Linked DNA regions of Arabidopsis thaliana. The protein of the gene in region 1 interacts with the protein of each later gene in a biochemical or structural test. Each region holds a gene or a part of one and is shown in the gene's direction. Other genes may lie near its edges.

Region 1 (5,360 bases):
TATAGACTCCTTGATCATCTCCAAATGGTGTTCCCTTCTTCCAATGGAAGGAATGATACGTGACCTAGAAAACAAAAAAACTCAAAAATTCAAATCTAGAAACCAACAATTTCGAAATTGGATCGGAGGAGATCGGGAATAATACGGTGAAATGAGCGAGATGAACAATGGTCCAAGCGATGCCAGGAGAACAATGGAAGACGGAGAGAACGAGGAGCCAAGAGAAGAAGAGGATGAGAATATAAGTAGTCCAAACACCAGGATATGTGAACCACTCTGTGTTCCGATTCACATCCGTCGTCGGAAGTGCTCTTACGTACATCGTCTTTTTCACCGGAGGGATTTGGAAGAAGATCGGAGATGATGATTGATGAATCGTCGTTGAGCAAGTTTTCTTTCTTCTTTGTTTTTTTTTTCTCTGCTGCGTTCTTTGGGCTCTTTCTGGGCTTTTTATTTTCTACAATTTTTTTAAAAAGAAGCATTAAATTAAAATAGGAAGGTGGTTGGGTGGCTCACCGATCTTAGCCTAAAACAATGATTATCAGTAACTCTGTCTCAAGACTCTCAACGCGTCACTCGATAAACCACGACGACTCATATTTTTAATTTATTGGACTTTTCTTGTCAGCTTACATAGAGGCCCATTACAAAACACACCGGTTTTCCGACCCGACCCGTACCTTTTCATCCGATAATTTAATTTACATTTTCAAAATATGTTCTGAAGTTAATTCTTGACCATATTAGTAAGAGTTATTTCATTTTATTTTTGAACAAATTTTAGCTGCCAAATTTCGAAATCCTTTTTTTTTTGCTACCAAATTTTCCATCCAGTGCTTCCGTGAAAAATATTTCGAATAAAATACCATTTTAAAAAACATCTTCGAATAAATATCTAAAATTATCAGTTTTTTGTTCTTCTCATATTTTCAACTTGATGAGGATTAGATTTAGATTCACCTAATGATTACAATAAACACGATTAAGCCTCGTTGGTTTTTTAAGACAAACTTACAATTTTTTTGTTTTTTCTTTTCTTCATCACACACTCTGTCTCACCAACTTATTCAATAAAAGCAATTGGACTTTTAACACAAAATATATTATTCAACGACAAAATGATTTCGTATTAATGCTATACTATCCAAGGTTCATTAAATTTGAACTAGCTATATCTTTTTATTAAACTTATAGAATTTAGATTCCACAATTTCTTGATTTCCATGCACAGAAAAAAAACTTTAAATAGATTACTATTCCCTCTAATTAAAATATAAGATGTTATAAAAGTTTATCTTTTAAATATTAAAAAATATTTTGTTAGTTTCTATGAAAATTAAATGTATTTGATAATTTGTGATCATTTATATTCTGCAGTTTTTTCTTATGATTAGTTAAAATTTTTAATTCTATAAATAATATTTTTTAGAAAGAATGATCTTAATATGTGTGATTGTTTTAAACATTTTATATTTTGAAACAAAGGAAATAACATCGTATTTCTGAGGATTTACATAATGTTTTTTTTTTGGTGCACCTAGCATAATGTTTTATTAGTAGAAATTATTCATAACCTGAAACATGTAATTGCATAAATGGCCTAAAGTCAGCTGAAATAAAATGAAAACAGAGGATACATAATTAGTAGAATAATCTCAAATATAAGAGAAAGTGCGTTAGTTGATAAAGACAGATAATTTGACTTTCCGATTTATTTGGCCGCCAACCTTTTTTTGTTTTGTTCTTCCTAAATTCCCTTTCTCCGAAATTCCTTTCATTGATTTCATCATCATCATCATCCTTCGTTTTTTCTCTATCGATCTAGCAGATTCTTTCGGGGACCAAAATCAAAATCATGGTGGATCATCAATGGAAGGATTTAATCGGATAAAAGAGAAGAGACGGAATCACGACGGGAGAAGAGATCGGGAAATCGGAAAATCGGAGATGATGGGGATTTCTTTCGCCGCCAAACTCCGTTTCCGATCTCGATTTCGAACTTCTTCAATCGATTCTTATTGCTTCGCTCGTGAGGCTTTCTCCGATTGTATCTCCTCCGTCCATTTCTTCTTCTTATAACCTTTTTCTTTGTAATAACCTCCGTCCTCTTCAGCTTTCTTTCTTTTCATCTTCAATCTCACCTTAAATTCTCCACTTTTTTCTTCTTCTCCTTCTGTTCTCGATTGCTTTGTTTGTTGTGTTGTGCATACATATATGGCTTCTGGTTCTGGATTTTTAGGTCAGATATCGTCCATGGAAGAGGCTGATTTTGCCGAGAAAGATCCTTCTGGCCGTTACATCAGGGTACGTCACTGTCTTCGTTGATTCATGTGTGAATTTGCATTCAATCTCGTTTGGTTGAGTGTTTTTTATTGTTGAATTATGAGGAAATTGATCAGAATTTGAGAATTTTGACCTAGTTTAATGAGTTCTCTTTGTAGTTCTACCTAATGAGGGCTGTTACTTTGATCGTATGGTGATGATTATTGGTTTATAGCAATGTGTGTTTTGTTCATTGTTACGTGTTTTCGACTTTTAAGCTATGTACAATTGTACATTTGGAACAATCAAGCTTAAGATCATGTTGTATTGCTGATTTTTTCGAGTTTGTATGGTGGAAAACATATAGTGATTGATCGATTCGTTTTTTTTTTGTTGTTGTTGTTTAGTATGATGATGTTCTGGGGAGAGGAGCTTTCAAGACTGTGTATGTTTTCTACACCCTATTATGCTTTTATGTTTTTAGTTGTAAAGGAAAGTGATTCTGATTTGTTTATTAACTCTTGTATAGATATAAGGCGTTTGACGAAGTAGACGGGATTGAAGTTGCTTGGAACCTAGTTAGCATTGAAGATGTAATGCAGATGCCTGGTCAACTTGAAAGGCTATATTCTGAAGTTCATCTACTAAAGGCTCTAAAACATGAAAACATCATCAAACTCTTTTACTCTTGGGTTGACGAAAAGAACAAGACTATTAACATGATCACTGAGCTTTTCACCTCTGGTAGTCTCAGGGTGTAAGTATCTCCCCCACTTCTCTTTTGTATTGATGATCCTTCATTCTTTTTTTTTTTCCTGTGCATCACATGGGTTGACACCATTTCATTTGATGTGAAGATATCGTAAGAAGCATAGGAAGGTTGATCCCAAGGCCATCAAGAACTGGGCAAGGCAGATTCTCAAAGGCCTGAACTATTTGCATTCTCAGAACCCTCCGGTAATTCACCGGGATCTGAAGTGTGACAATATATTTGTCAATGGAAATACTGGAGAGGTCAAAATCGGAGATCTCGGGCTCGCAACTGTACTGCAGCAGCCCACTGCTCGAAGTGTGATAGGTAATACACCATAAACCATTTTCCTTCCTAGACCCTGAAAACTTTACTGTAACTGAAAACTTTGAGCGTAATCAGGTACTCCTGAATTCATGGCACCTGAACTGTATGAAGAGGAATACAATGAGCTTGTGGACATCTATTCTTTTGGCATGTGTATGTTGGAGATGGTAACCTGTGAATATCCATACAACGAGTGCAGAAACCAGGCTCAAATTTATAAAAAGGTCACCTCGGTAAGTCTTTCACAATCTTTACTTTCATCAATTATCTATGCAATGGGGCTCCCGTTTGAAACTTTGCATTTGCAGAACATAAAGCCTCAGTCTCTTGGCAAAGTTGACGATCCTCAAGTTAGGCAATTTATAGAGAAATGTCTTCTTCCTGCCTCTTCCAGACCAACTGCCCTCGAGCTCTCGAAGGACCCATTCCTTGCAAGGGATGGAGGCAAGGACTCTGCTCTGCTTGCTTCATCAAGCACATCATCTAAATATGTGAGACCACCACAGCTTGAACATCTTCCCATGGATGTGGATCATAACGAGAATAAAAGTGTTTCAAGCAACGAAGACTACCCATGGTCCCAAACCATTGAACTTCAGAGGATTGCAGAGAATAAAGAGTTCAGGTTGAGAGGTGAGAGGAGCGATGATGTCACAGCGTCTATGGTTCTCCGTATTGCTGACCCGTCTGGTTCGTCTTATAAAATTAAATCTTCTATCCAATTCATTCCTCTCACAGTTTTCATTTACTGAAAATCAATTCAATGCCCTAATACAGGTAAATGTAGAATCGTACACTTTGCATTCTATCTGGAGTCAGACACAGCAACAGCAATCGCTGAGGAAATGGTTGAGGAACTGCATTTAACTAGCCAAGAGGTCGTTGTGATAGCTGATATGATCGATGACTTCATAATGCAACTTCTCTCTGACCGGACCTCGTCGCATCATAACCAAAACTCTCCACGTCTAACCCATGAGGATCATGAAGCAGCAAATCAGCAAACTGTGAACTCGAAAGATGAAGAAGCTGCAGGACAATCAATGAAGTCAGACATATCAGCAGACTATTACTTTCCCTACTCAGCAAACGACGGAAATGCTGCCATGGAAGCTGGTCGAGATGCAGAGTCGATGAGCTCGTATCTGGATTCTTGCTCAATGATGTCAACCATTTACAATCTTTCCATTTCAGACAATGATTACCCAGAAGATCTCAAGACAGAACTAAACCTGATCGAGTCACAGTTTAACCAGTCCTTCCAAGATCTGCTGAAACTGAAAGAGGATGCAATAGAGAACGCTAAGCGAAAATGGATTACGAAAAAGCAAAAAGCAGTTAACATCTCTTGATTCAAAAGCTCTGTTTTTGATATTTTACTCTTCTTTTGGTCTTCAACTTTGCTGAGATCGGTGTGTTATACATTTGGTGTTTTGGATATATATATTTGATTTGATTTGATACAACAAACATAAATAGTGGTATTTGACTTATATCATTTCTAACAGACTAAACACACGAAACCTGTTAAAAAAAAACTAAAAAGTTTAGAAGGTTGACATATTTTGGACATAATGGTTCCAAAGCTCAGATGCAATCTCATCTCTTAACCTTAAACTATCTTCAACTTCTTCTGGTCTAAACCCATGTTCCTGCCCCACTATCTCTACTTGTTCCTCTTCTAAAGCCACTTCTCTATCTTCTCCTGCTTCCGCCAGAGTCTCTTCTTCAAACATCCTAAACACTAAATCATCTGGTTTCTCCAAGCGGACATAGTTGTGCAATGCACAAGCCGCAATCACCAGTTTCACTTGCGTTTGTAGAGGATACGGAGGAGCTGATAGTAGAATCGGAAACCGTTCTTTCAAAGCCCCAAAAGTCCGGTGGATAGCTCGATGCAACAACTTGTGTCGCTCATTGAACATTTCCTTTGCTTCTTCTCTTGAATTGGTTGAAACACCGTGATACGGCGCGATAAAGCCAGGAAGATTCGGATACTTATTGTCAACAATGTAGTATT
Region 2 (3,802 bases), on another chromosome or scaffold:
CAATGTGATGCAAAATGGATGTATTCAGGATCAGAAGATGGCACAGTTAAGATCTGGGACTTAAGGTATATCATGTCATCTTCATCTTTAGCTAAAAGTTTATAGATTTATTCAAGTGTGGATTCTGGGAAAGGATAAGGAGATATTGAATATAAAGTTACGAAAAATACTAAGAACGTTCTAAATTGTATTCTTGTTGACTCGTAAACCAAAATGCAGGGCTCCGGGTTGCCAAAAGGAGTATGAAAGTGTTGCAGCGGTTAATACAGTTGTTTTACACCCAAATCAGGTACATGAAGTCATCTGTTATTGTTGTGCTGTGGGAATCAGCTTCGTTTTATGTTTAAGAGAGTTGTTGTATTGCTACTGTTGAAACTGCTGTGATTTTGGTAGTTGTCTCAGCTGTTATTATGAACTATTTCCTTAGTCTTTATTATGAACTTTGTTTTTTTTTTTTGTACAGACTGAATTGATATCTGGAGACCAAAATGGAAATATACGTGTATGGGATCTCAGAGCAAATTCGTGTAGCTGTGAACTGGTAATTGCCTTTGACACGTCTTCATTTCATTTCTGAAAATCCGTAGATAATCACTTGAGGTTAACTATAGGTACCAGAAGTTGATACAGCTGTACGGTCTTTAACTGTTATGTGGGATGGGACAATGGTAGTCGCTGCTAACAACCGTGGAACATGTTATGTATGGCGCTTGTTGCGTGGAAAACAGGTAGTGTTCCTGATATGCAAACCTTTCTTTTGTTTAACCATGTTGTAGTCGCATTACTCTAATTGTCCATGCCATTTAAAAATTCAAAATCTTTTACAGACAATGACAGAGTTTGAGCCCCTTCATAAGCTGCAAGCTCATAATGGCCACATCCTTAAATGTCTCCTCTCTCCTGCAAACAAGTAACATGTTTCTTATACTTTCTCTTTTAACCGTTTTCTTCATCCTCTCCTTTTCGAAGCTCTTACATATTTGTTAGCAGATATCTAGCGACTGCATCATCTGATAAAACTGTCAAAATATGGAACGTCGATGGTTTTAAACTAGAGAAAGTTTTAACAGGTATGTTCTCCATGTTACTGTCAACAGCATTCATTCTCCATTATCGTCTCTTACACTATCATCAAATCTTATATAACAGGACATCAAAGATGGGTTTGGGACTGCGTCTTCTCAGTGGATGGAGAATTTCTTGTAACAGGTACTAATCTCTGTCTTAACTTAAACCACTGAAAAACATATCAGAACAATCTTTAAACGGGTTTCTATGATGTTGTACAGCATCATCGGACATGACGGCTAGATTGTGGTCGATGCCAGCAGGCAAAGAAGTGAAAGTGTACCAAGGTCATCACAAAGCCACTGTGTGCTGTGCACTTCACGATTAAAACCTTAATAAGAATCAAAGCTAAATTATGAACAAACTACGATTGTGTTATTTGTGTTTTAGTAAACTCTTGTACATTTCAATCGAATTCGTTCAAATTGCTCTTATGTTCCCTCTCTGATCAAACATTTCTCAACTATATCACAACAAAAATGCTCCAACAAAATTTATTTCAGAAGAGGCCCATTTATACCTGACTCGGAAACTCCGGCCCAAATGAGCCAGTCTCCTCGCAGAAACCACACTAAACCCTAATTTGATTCATTTTTAGACCTAGAGTATAAATACCAAACATTTCAATCGACCTCGTAATCTCTCGCTCTGTTACGCCATTTTCGTGAGTAAGAAGAAGAAACCCGAAAACCTCAAACCATGGCCGAGGGACTCGTATTGAAGGGCATTATGCGCGCCCACACCGACATTGTCACGGCCATCGCTACGCCGATCGACAATTCCGACATCATCGTCACAGCGTCGCGTGACAAATCCATCATCCTCTGGAAACTCACAAAGGACGATAAGTCTTACGGTGTTGCTCAGCGTAGGCTCACAGGTCACTCTCACTTCGTGGAAGATGTTGTTCTCTCATCGGACGGTCAGTTTGCACTCTCCGGAAGCTGGGACGGTGAGCTCCGTCTCTGGGATCTTGCCACGGGAGAAACAACTCGTCGATTCGTTGGTCATACGAAAGATGTGCTCTCTGTTGCATTCTCTACTGATAACCGGCAGATCGTGTCTGCTTCTCGTGATCGTACGATTAAGCTTTGGAACACACTTGGTGAGTGTAAGTATACCATCTCTGAAGGTGATGGTCACAAGGAATGGGTTAGTTGTGTTAGGTTTAGTCCTAATACTCTTGTACCAACTATTGTATCTGCTTCTTGGGATAAAACTGTGAAAGTTTGGAATCTCCAGAACTGTAAGCTGAGGAACTCTCTTGTTGGTCACTCTGGTTACCTCAACACTGTTGCTGTCTCGCCTGATGGTTCGCTATGCGCCAGTGGTGGGAAAGATGGTGTTATCTTGTTGTGGGATTTGGCTGAAGGAAAGAAGCTTTACTCGCTTGAGGCGGGTTCGATTATTCACTCGCTTTGCTTCAGTCCTAACAGATACTGGTTGTGTGCTGCTACTGAGAATAGCATTAGGATTTGGGATCTTGAGAGCAAGTCTGTTGTTGAGGACTTGAAGGTTGATCTCAAGTCTGAGGCAGAGAAGAATGAAGGTGGTGTTGGAACTGGTAACCAGAAGAAGGTACGTCATTATCTTATGATTTCACTATAGTAATTGGTTCTCTATTGATAGGTTAGTGAATGCACCAAAAGTAGTGATGAAATTATCTTTGGTTATGACAAAAAAAAAGTGAAATTTTGGTTAGAAATTGCATGTAGGAAATCTTTTCCCTTACCCATTAGCTTTGAAACTAGGAATTTTATTCTTTAAATGTTGCTCTGCTCCAAAGGTTTTGACTTTGATGTTAACATATAGGAAGAGATTGATAATGGTATCTAATGGGAATGTGTAATGAAAATGCAGGTTATCTACTGCACAAGCTTGAACTGGAGTGCAGATGGAAGCACATTGTTCAGTGGTTACACTGATGGAGTTGTCAGGGTCTGGGGTATTGGTCGTTACTAGAGACACAACAAGATGAAGAAGAAGTCACGAAATCTCCGGAAAAAAGTTTAGCTGCTTTTAATTTTTCCAGACTGCGTCAGTATTGTATTAGTCTCTCGCAAACCTCTATTTTGGCAATTTTTGTTTAATTTCCAGAAGAGAAAAAAACAATCCATTGATTATCATATCACTATATATCAAAAGGTCACGATTTTGATTACACTTACCTTCGTGATCTTCCGATTGGTCTTATTGAGGTTCAATCTTCACAATTCATCCCTATAATATATCACTCTTATCTCTTTCACCGGCCACATTACAAGCCTATTAGATTTCTAAAGCCCATGATTGGCCCAATTCAGTTAGGGTGGGTTTCTTTGTCTTCAAATTTGTAACCACCGGAAGCAGAGGAGAGTATCTTCTGAAGCATTAACCTAACTTATTTATGATCCTTGAGATGATGATGGCCAATCTTCCAAGGGATTTAGTGAACCTTGTTACGGATACGTACAGTATGAACTCTACTACCTCAAGTCCTCAACTCCTCTAAACCACGGATGAATATTACTATCCCTAACATTAACTCTGCGAACTGGGAGATACAGTTTTCTGCACGTGGCGTGTCTCTCAAGGGAAATACTCAACAAAAGCATCTCCCTGAGTTCTTACTCTGTTATGATTTTACAAGAGAGATATTTGGACCCCCTCTAAGTCTACCGTTTCACTCTTTTAATGAAGATACTGTGACTCTATCTAGTGTTAGAGATGAGCAACTTACAGTGTTATTTGAGAG
Region 3 (7,781 bases), about 13 Mb from region 1:
ATCTAGAAATTTTAGAGGGGTGTATATAGTGTGCTATTTTCGTGATAAAAGTAAATAATGCATCCAAAATTCAAAGTGGATCATTAACACGTTTTGGTATATACATCACAATTTGTCAAACCCGTAATTAATTGCGCCAAACAAGAAAAAATGATCTTATGGGGCAAAAGTAAATCACATATATGGCAGTGGGAAGAAAAAAGGAGATTATATTTTTCCCCTAAAATAGACTAAAGTAACAAACCTAAATTTCTCTGGAAAGAATTATATCATAAAACCTCGAAGCCGACAAAAACTAAGAAAAAAAAAAACAATTTACCGAAGAAAGAATATTATTAAAAAATACAGGAACAAGGAGAGAGAAATGTGTTATAAAGGATAAAGCCCACTAAAGGTCATTCACTTATCTAACTGTATACTATTATTTTCTTCGAGGCAATATATAAAATTTACTTGATCTAGTAATTTATTTTCACTAAGGTTTAGTATTCTTATACATTTGTATAATAGTTAACACAACTTAACGATACTTACTTCTAATATGTATCAACACGTACGTACAGAGCCACGTAAAGAAAAAAAACACACACACAATCGCTGTCGAACAGTTAAATCCCGAATCTAGATTTGTATTAGTTATCTAATCGTATTATTGTTAATTCCGAAAGTAGAGTCAACATCCAATTAATTGCTTTATCAAATATCGAATATGCAAAAGGTCTAAAGAAAAACAAAGTTTTTTTTTGTTGTTAAACTTTGCTTACATCATAGGTATCCCATTAGGTTGGTGTACCATGTGATGATTCTACCACCGAAAAAACAGAAGCCAATATTAAAAAATACATCTATATAGTACATGTACAATAACAATAATTAAGGATTATTGTATTATATTTTAAGAAAAAAACTAAATAGGGTTATGTGAACCAGACTTTTTTTAACACTTTTACTGTGGTAAACTTTGGAAAGGGAAAAAAGAGTGTTAGGGTTAATATATGTATATATAATTCATTTATTGGGGAAATGGGCTCATCTAGGGTAACATCACCTACCCATACAATTTTATCATGCTTTTAGGGCTTTTATTTATCTCACTGGTCCCTCAATTCCTCCACTCTCTCTTCCCTTCGCGTGAACAACACGCTCCAATGTCTCCCCTTCGTATGTGCCGACGCTCCTTACCTCTCCGCGCCACGGACGAAACGTGCCCACACGCGAAAAGTAAACGCCGTGACATCCACGCGCCTAGGGTTTTCTTTTCATCAGGACACAAGTGAAAAATGGGTTGTGATAAGAACCGCACATTGCGGCCACGTGGTTAATTCTCATTGGTTTCTTGTGCCCCATCCTATCACACACAAAAACGTCTAATACGATTTAAATAAAAATCGGGTTCTTTCCTAATATAAAGAAAAACACTGAGATCTTTTACTTAATCTTGTTGTTTAATTTCTGGATACTGTTCCCCTAAGCCAGCTATTTTCTACTAATGCTCAGATTTCTTTCTTAACTAAACATATGCATAAAATTTTCTCCTTTTATTCACTTTTGACAGATACAGAGATACAAAGAACAGATACAGAGATGTACAAATACAGATACGTGTACACAATAGAAGTAAAAAGATACGTAACTTTGTTTCGTGTAATTGGAAATAGGCAGACCAGATGGTGACATGGCATTGTCATGTTCCATAGATGAGTTGTTCTTTTTTTAATATAAAATTATTACAATAAATTAATAAAAAGATTATTTTATTGAAATTAAAACCCTTATATCGACGCAAAGCCAAACAAAAAAAAAACCCTCATTTCAAGGATAAGAGAGCTCCACTTTCTCTCTCCTCTCCTTTCTCCAACAGTCTCTCTCTACAAGCCATAGGAAAAAAAAAAAAGTCCCCCTTTCTCTCTCCCTCCCCTTTCGTCTTAGGGTTTCTCGAAAATTCGCAGTCAAATTCTACTCATCTCCCGACGAATCCATCCTTCAAGCTCATCTAATCTTCTTCTCCGTAGCTTTCTCAATCTACCGATATAGTTTTTATCCCTTGCCGCTTAAGATCGAGCTCGAATCTCGCAACCCCTTTTAATCCCTAATTTCTGGTCGGATTAACCCAGGTGCGTTGTTTCCGACATGAATCTCAGATGTGTTTCGATTTAAGGTTTGAGCTAAGGTTTGATCTTGTTGGGTTGAGATTTGGTCTGACTTGTAGCTGACTTCGTGTCTTTTAAGCTTCACTGTTCATTTATACGTCTATCTTCCTCGGAAACTCTTGATGTTCTTACTTTTTTTTTTTTTTTTTTTTTTTGGGGTTTCGTCTTCACGGACTATTCACGTGCGGATAGATCTGACCCGTATTAATTGGTGGGTCTTGGTTAATCTTTGTTAATCACATACGGTTAATTTAAGTGGTTTATTATCTTTTAATTTTGTTCTAATTTTGATTTTAAACCCTAAATTACGCTGATTAATAATTTGACCTTTCTTGGGTTTTGTAATTCCGAAATTATATTGAATCTGGTCCGATCTTCTTTTTTCTTTTGCTGGTCATGTAGATAAGGTTACAGCTTTGGGGTTTCTCGTCTGTCTGAAAAACCCTAATTTTAGGTCGTCTAAGTTTAGGTTTACTTACATGTTAATTGTTAAATGTATAAAATTCACTTGCACGATTAATTTTTTGTTATATTAGCGTAATTGAATTGAGATGCTAGTATAGAATTTCATTCTTGATTTTATGTAGACCTTAGGGTTTAATTTTTTTTTATTTGCCGTGTAATTGTGAAGTTTGATGTTGGTTATGAATGTTATTTTATGTGGGATATTCATGTGAAATGCTTTAACACTATGTTATAGATTAGTTATATTTATTGCTTGAATAAATTTAGAGTTATATTTGGTGTCGTATATATGGAAAGTTAAGATTTATGTCTTGATATACAACAATAATGTGATCATTAAGCACAATTATACGATGTGTTATATAACTTGTTTTGATGTGTTGCTTTTGTAGCTCTAGTTGCGGAGAGAGTATAATGGTGTATGAAAGTTAATCATCACTGAGGCATAGTATCTATCTCCTTCAAGCAAATCAATGGGATCTTCCATCAAGATCAACTCAATATCCATAGATCTCGCAGGTGCTGCCAACGAGATTGATATGGTGAAATGTGATCATTTTTCCATGCGGTGAGTATAGTTTGTTGACCTTATATCATCAACCTCTCTTGCTAGAGTATGTTTATATAGTAGCAAGCTACAAGATGAAATGACATGAATAACCAGTTTTTCTTCTCTGCAGTGGATTCGTAGCTGAAACTCGTGAGAGAGACCTTAGAAAATGTTGGCCGTTTTCAGAAGAGAGTGTTAGTTTAGTAGACCAACAAAGCTATACTCTTCCTACTTTATCTGTTCCAAAGTTTAGATGGTGGCATTGTATGAGCTGCATCAAAGATATAGATGCTCATGGGCCAAAAGGTATATCACATTTCCAATATTGTTTTTTATGTGTCTAAAGACGTGTCTACTTGAACTTATGCATTTTGAGTTGCTTGCAGATTGTGGACTGCATTCAAACTCAAAAGCTATTGGAAACTCTTCTGTTATCGAAAGTAAAAGCAAGTTCAATTCGCTAACTATCATTGATCACGAGAAAGAAAAGAAAACTGATATTGCAGGTATGCATCTGCTGAGTCTTGGTTCAGTTTCATAATCCATAGCAAAATCTTAATCATTTTGTATTATCATGTTTTTCAGATAATGCTATTGAGGAGAAAGTGGGTGTAAACTGTGAGAATGATGATCAGACAGGTAAAGTTTTCTCTGGTCAAGCAAATTATGTTTTCTCTGATGATCTCATGATGCGGAATACTAATTTCTTAAAGCTTCAACAACTGCAGCTACTACGTTTCTCAAGAAAGCACGTGGTCGACCTATGGGTGCTTCTAATGTTAGGAGCAAGAGCAGAAAGCTTGTGAGTCCGGAGCAGGTAGGAAACAACAGATCTAAAGAAAAACTAAACAAACCATCGATGGATATTAGCAGCTGGAAAGAGAAACAAAATGTGGATCAGGCTGTGACAACGTTCGGCTCATCTGAAATTGCTGGTGTGGTTGAGGATACACCACCTAAGGCAACCAAGAATCATAAAGGCATTCGCGGTCTGATGGAATGCGATAACGGGTCATCAGAAAGTATAAATCTTGCTATGAGTGGGTTGCAGCGTAGGAAATCTCGCAAGGTTCGTCTACTCAGTGAGTTGCTTGGTAATACAAAAACCAGTGGTGGTAGTAACATCAGAAAAGAAGAGTCTGCTTTGAAGAAGGAATCAGTTAGAGGTCGAAAAAGAAAGTTGTTACCTGAAAACAATTATGTCAGCCGGATATTGAGTACAATGGGTGCAACCTCTGAAAATGCTTCCAAAAGTTGTGACTCTGATCAAGGTAATAGTGAATCAACTGATAGTGGGTTTGACAGAACTCCATTTAAGGGTAAGCAGAGAAACAGAAGATTTCAGGTTGTTGACGAGTTTGTACCATCACTTCCTTGTGAAACTTCACAAGAAGGTATCAAGGAGCATGATGCAGATCCTAGTAAGAGATCAACTCCTGCGCACTCTTTATTCACTGGAAACGATTCTGTTCCTTGTCCTCCGGGTACTCAGAGAACAGAGAGGAAGCTCAGTTTACCCAAGAAGAAGACAAAGAAGCCTGTAATCGATAATGGGAAGAGCACTGTGATCAGTTTTAGTAACGGCATTGATGGAAGTCAAGTTAACTCGCATACTGGTCCTTCCATGAACACAGTATCCCAAACTCGAGACTTATTGAATGGGAAAAGGGTGGGCGGTTTATTTGACAACCGTTTGGCTTCAGATGGATATTTCAGAAAATATCTCTCTCAGGTTAATGATAAGCCGATAACATCTTTGCATTTGCAAGACAATGATTATGTGAGGTCAAGAGACGCGGAACCAAACTGTCTTCGAGATTTTAGTTCCTCTTCTAAATCCAGCTCAGGTGGATGGTTGAGAACTGGAGTAGATATTGTTGACTTCAGAAACAACAACCACAATACAAACAGATCGTCTTTCTCGAACTTGAAGCTAAGATACCCCCCTTCTTCTACTGAAGTTGCGGATTTATCTCGGGTGCTGCAAAAGGTACAAGCTTTGCATCTATTTTTCTTCAATCGCCATGCTTTCTCATTCTGTTTTCCAACTTGCACCTATTCTTGTATATTCCAAACTGGTGTGCTTCAGTGATTGGATCAGGATGATAACGGGATTGATTTACTTGGCAGGATGCTTCTGGTGCAGATAGAAAGGGGAAGACTGTTATGGTCCAAGAACATCATGGAGCACCAAGAAGCCAAAGTCACGATAGAAAGGAGACTACGACTGAAGAGCAAAACAACGATGATATTCCAATGGAGATAGTGGAGCTCATGGCCAAAAACCAGTACGAGAGGTGTCTTCCCGACAAAGAAGAAGATGTTAGCAACAAACAGCCATCACAAGAAACAGCACACAAATCCAAGAATGCTCTACTGATTGATCTCAATGAAACCTACGATAACGGGATCTCACTTGAGGACAACAACACATCAAGACCACCAAAACCGTGTAGTAGCAACGCAAGGAGGGAAGAACATTTTCCTATGGGAAGACAGCAGAACTCTCATGACTTCTTCCCAATAAGTCAGCCTTATGTGCCTTCTCCGTTTGGGATCTTTCCTCCTACCCAAGAAAACCGAGCCAGCTCCATCCGGTTTTCTGGTCACAACTGTCAGTGGCTTGGGAATTTGCCAACTGTGGGTAATCAGAACCCTTCTCCATCCTCATTTCGGGTATTACGTGCTTGTGATACTTGCCAGAGTGTTCCTAATCAATACAGAGAAGCTTCTCATCCAATTTGGCCATCTTCCATGATACCACCACAGAGTCAATACAAGCCAGTTTCTTTAAATATTAATCAGTCAACAAATCCGGGTACGCTTTCACAGGCATCTAACAATGAAAATACATGGAACCTCAACTTTGTTGCTGCCAACGGGAAGCAAAAATGTGGGCCTAATCCAGAATTTTCATTTGGCTGCAAACATGCTGCTGGGGTTAGTAGTAGTAGTAGTAGGCCAATAGATAACTTTTCTAGTGAGAGCTCTATACCGGCATTGCATCTACTCAGCCTTCTGGATCCTCGCCTGAGGTCAACGACTCCCGCTGACCAACACGGAAACACTAAATTTACTAAAAGACATTTTCCGCCAGCCAACCAGTCCAAAGAGTTTATAGAGCTTCAAACAGGGGACTCTAGTAAGTCAGCCTACTCAACTAAGCAGATACCTTTTGATCTATACAGCAAGAGATTCACACAAGAGCCTTCCCGGAAGAGTTTCCCCATCACTCCACCTATTGGGACGTCTTCACTTTCATTTCAAAATGCTTCATGGAGTCCTCATCATCAAGAGAAGAAAACCAAGAGAAAAGACACCTTTGCTCCTGTTTACAATACTCATGAAAAGCCGGTGTTTGCAAGCAGCAACGACCAAGCGAAGTTCCAGCTGCTGGGAGCATCGAATTCCATGATGCTTCCTTTGAAATTTCACATGACGGATAAAGAAAAGAAACAAAAGAGAAAAGCAGAGAGCTGCAATAACAATGCCTCTGCGGGACCTGTGAAGAACAGTTCTGGACCCATTGTGTGCAGCGTCAATAGAAACCCTGCTGATTTCACCATTCCTGAACCTGGGAATGTTTACATGTTAACGGGTGAACATCTGAAAGTCCGTAAACGCACAACCTTCAAGAAAAAGCCAGCCGTGTGTAAGCAGGACGCAATGAAGCAGACCAAGAAGCCGGTTTGTCCACCTACACAAAATGCCTAAAGATATACAATGTGTGTGGGAGGGATTTGTGCAGGTAAGTTGCTAGGACTATCTGTTTCTAATTCTTTAGTTTTGGGATTTACTTGGTTCGTCTGAAATCAATGACTTAAAGAAATCTGCACCTTACTAAGTGTTTCTTTTTGCATTTACATTAGTTAGAACTGCAAAAGGTTAGGTTTTATGTTAAAGCCTAGGGTTTAGAACAGAGTTTTATCAGTCTCTTCATCAAATCTTTGTCTCCAGCTCTAACAAAACAATTTTCTCTTTAGTTCATTGTGAAACAGATACTGAGGCAGAGGGATTAACAGATGGAGAGGGATACAAAGAGAGGGAGAGAGACAGAGACAGAGAAAGAGAAAGAGAGATCATTCCTATTGAAAACAAGAATAAGTCAGACAGGAAACATTAAAATGCAAATCTTCCTCATGTTCTTGGTCTCTGGTCTTAAAAACATATCTTTGCTTATGGTTTGTTCAAGCATACTTGGGAACCATTCAGCTTGTGTATATATTTAAATGACTGTAGTACCCCTGATAGGCCTTGTTGTTTTTTGTTTGTTTTTTTGGGAAATACTAGATACCTTTCAGCTGGCGTTATATATATATTTAGTCTTTATTTATACTGTTGTGTTTAAATGTCTCTGTCAGGCCAGCCAACTTCTCCAAACCTAAGAGAAACCCTCTTAAGTCTTAACACATTTTTAATCCAAAAAAGACTCTAACTGAAGATTCCGTAAATTAAATCTCTAGTCTGAAGAAAAATCTGCAAAACAACTTTTACATCAATTAAAAAGCTTAGAGTGCTACAGAAACGCTTAAGGTTACTTTTCAACTTCTTAATTTACTTAAGAATACATTGAAATTAAGTTGGGTATGTTGTTGATTCCATGCAACTCCGAGTTT

Evidence for each region. Proteins that work in one complex are often made in the same cells at the same time.
Region 2: of the proteins of WNK8 (region 1) and RACK1C_AT, one has a biochemical effect on the other in vitro, tested with the Arabidopsis thaliana proteins (one study listed by BioGRID).
Region 3: the proteins of WNK8 (region 1) and EMF1 form a complex in vitro, tested with the Arabidopsis thaliana proteins (one study listed by BioGRID).

What each region holds. Positions count from the first base shown.
Region 1 is NC_003076.8:16,794,417-16,799,776, reverse strand, and holds WNK8 (with no lysine (K) kinase 8), read left to right. Parts: upstream 1-1,770; 5' UTR 1,771-2,214; coding exon 2,215-2,304; intron 2,305-2,669; coding exon 2,670-2,707; intron 2,708-2,791; coding exon 2,792-3,019; intron 3,020-3,119; coding exon 3,120-3,340; intron 3,341-3,415; coding exon 3,416-3,573; intron 3,574-3,648; coding exon 3,649-4,030; intron 4,031-4,117; coding exon 4,118-4,692; 3' UTR 4,693-4,810; downstream 4,811-5,360. Other genes in the region: AT5G42000 (ORMDL family protein), read right to left, coding at 1-64, 146-322; AT5G41980 (nuclease), read right to left, coding at 4,888-5,360. UniProt on the Arabidopsis thaliana protein: Regulates flowering time by modulating the photoperiod pathway. Phosphorylates the vacuolar ATPase subunit C (VATC) and RGS1. Regulates EDM2 that, in turn, modulates development processes.
Region 2 is NC_003074.8:6,210,337-6,214,138, reverse strand, and holds RACK1C_AT (receptor for activated C kinase 1C), read left to right. Parts: upstream 1-1,587; 5' UTR 1,588-1,767; coding exon 1,768-2,646; intron 2,647-2,928; coding exon 2,929-3,030; 3' UTR 3,031-3,261; downstream 3,262-3,802. Other genes in the region: LST8-1 (Transducin/WD40 repeat-like superfamily protein), read left to right, coding at 1-65, 220-289, 464-541, 612-728, 828-910, 991-1,070, 1,150-1,209, 1,290-1,396; AT3G18120 (F-box associated ubiquitination effector family protein), read left to right, coding at 3,567-3,802. UniProt on the Arabidopsis thaliana protein: Minor component of the RACK1 regulatory proteins that play a role in multiple signal transduction pathways. Involved in multiple hormone responses and developmental processes.
Region 3 is NC_003076.8:3,694,052-3,701,832, forward strand, and holds EMF1 (embryonic flower 1 (EMF1)), read left to right. Parts: upstream 1-1,740; 5' UTR 1,741-2,114; exon of another isoform or gene 2,115-2,361; intron 2,362-3,007; 5' UTR 3,008-3,088; coding exon 3,089-3,183; intron 3,184-3,295; coding exon 3,296-3,471; intron 3,472-3,551; coding exon 3,552-3,671; intron 3,672-3,750; coding exon 3,751-3,804; intron 3,805-3,893; coding exon 3,894-5,155; intron 5,156-5,295; coding exon 5,296-6,879; 3' UTR 6,880-6,913; exon of another isoform or gene 6,914-7,148; 3' UTR 7,149-7,498; downstream 7,499-7,781. UniProt on the Arabidopsis thaliana protein: Transcription repressor that regulates phase transition during shoot, flower and seeds development. Controls leaves development, shoot architecture and flowering by delaying both the vegetative to reproductive transition and flower initiation.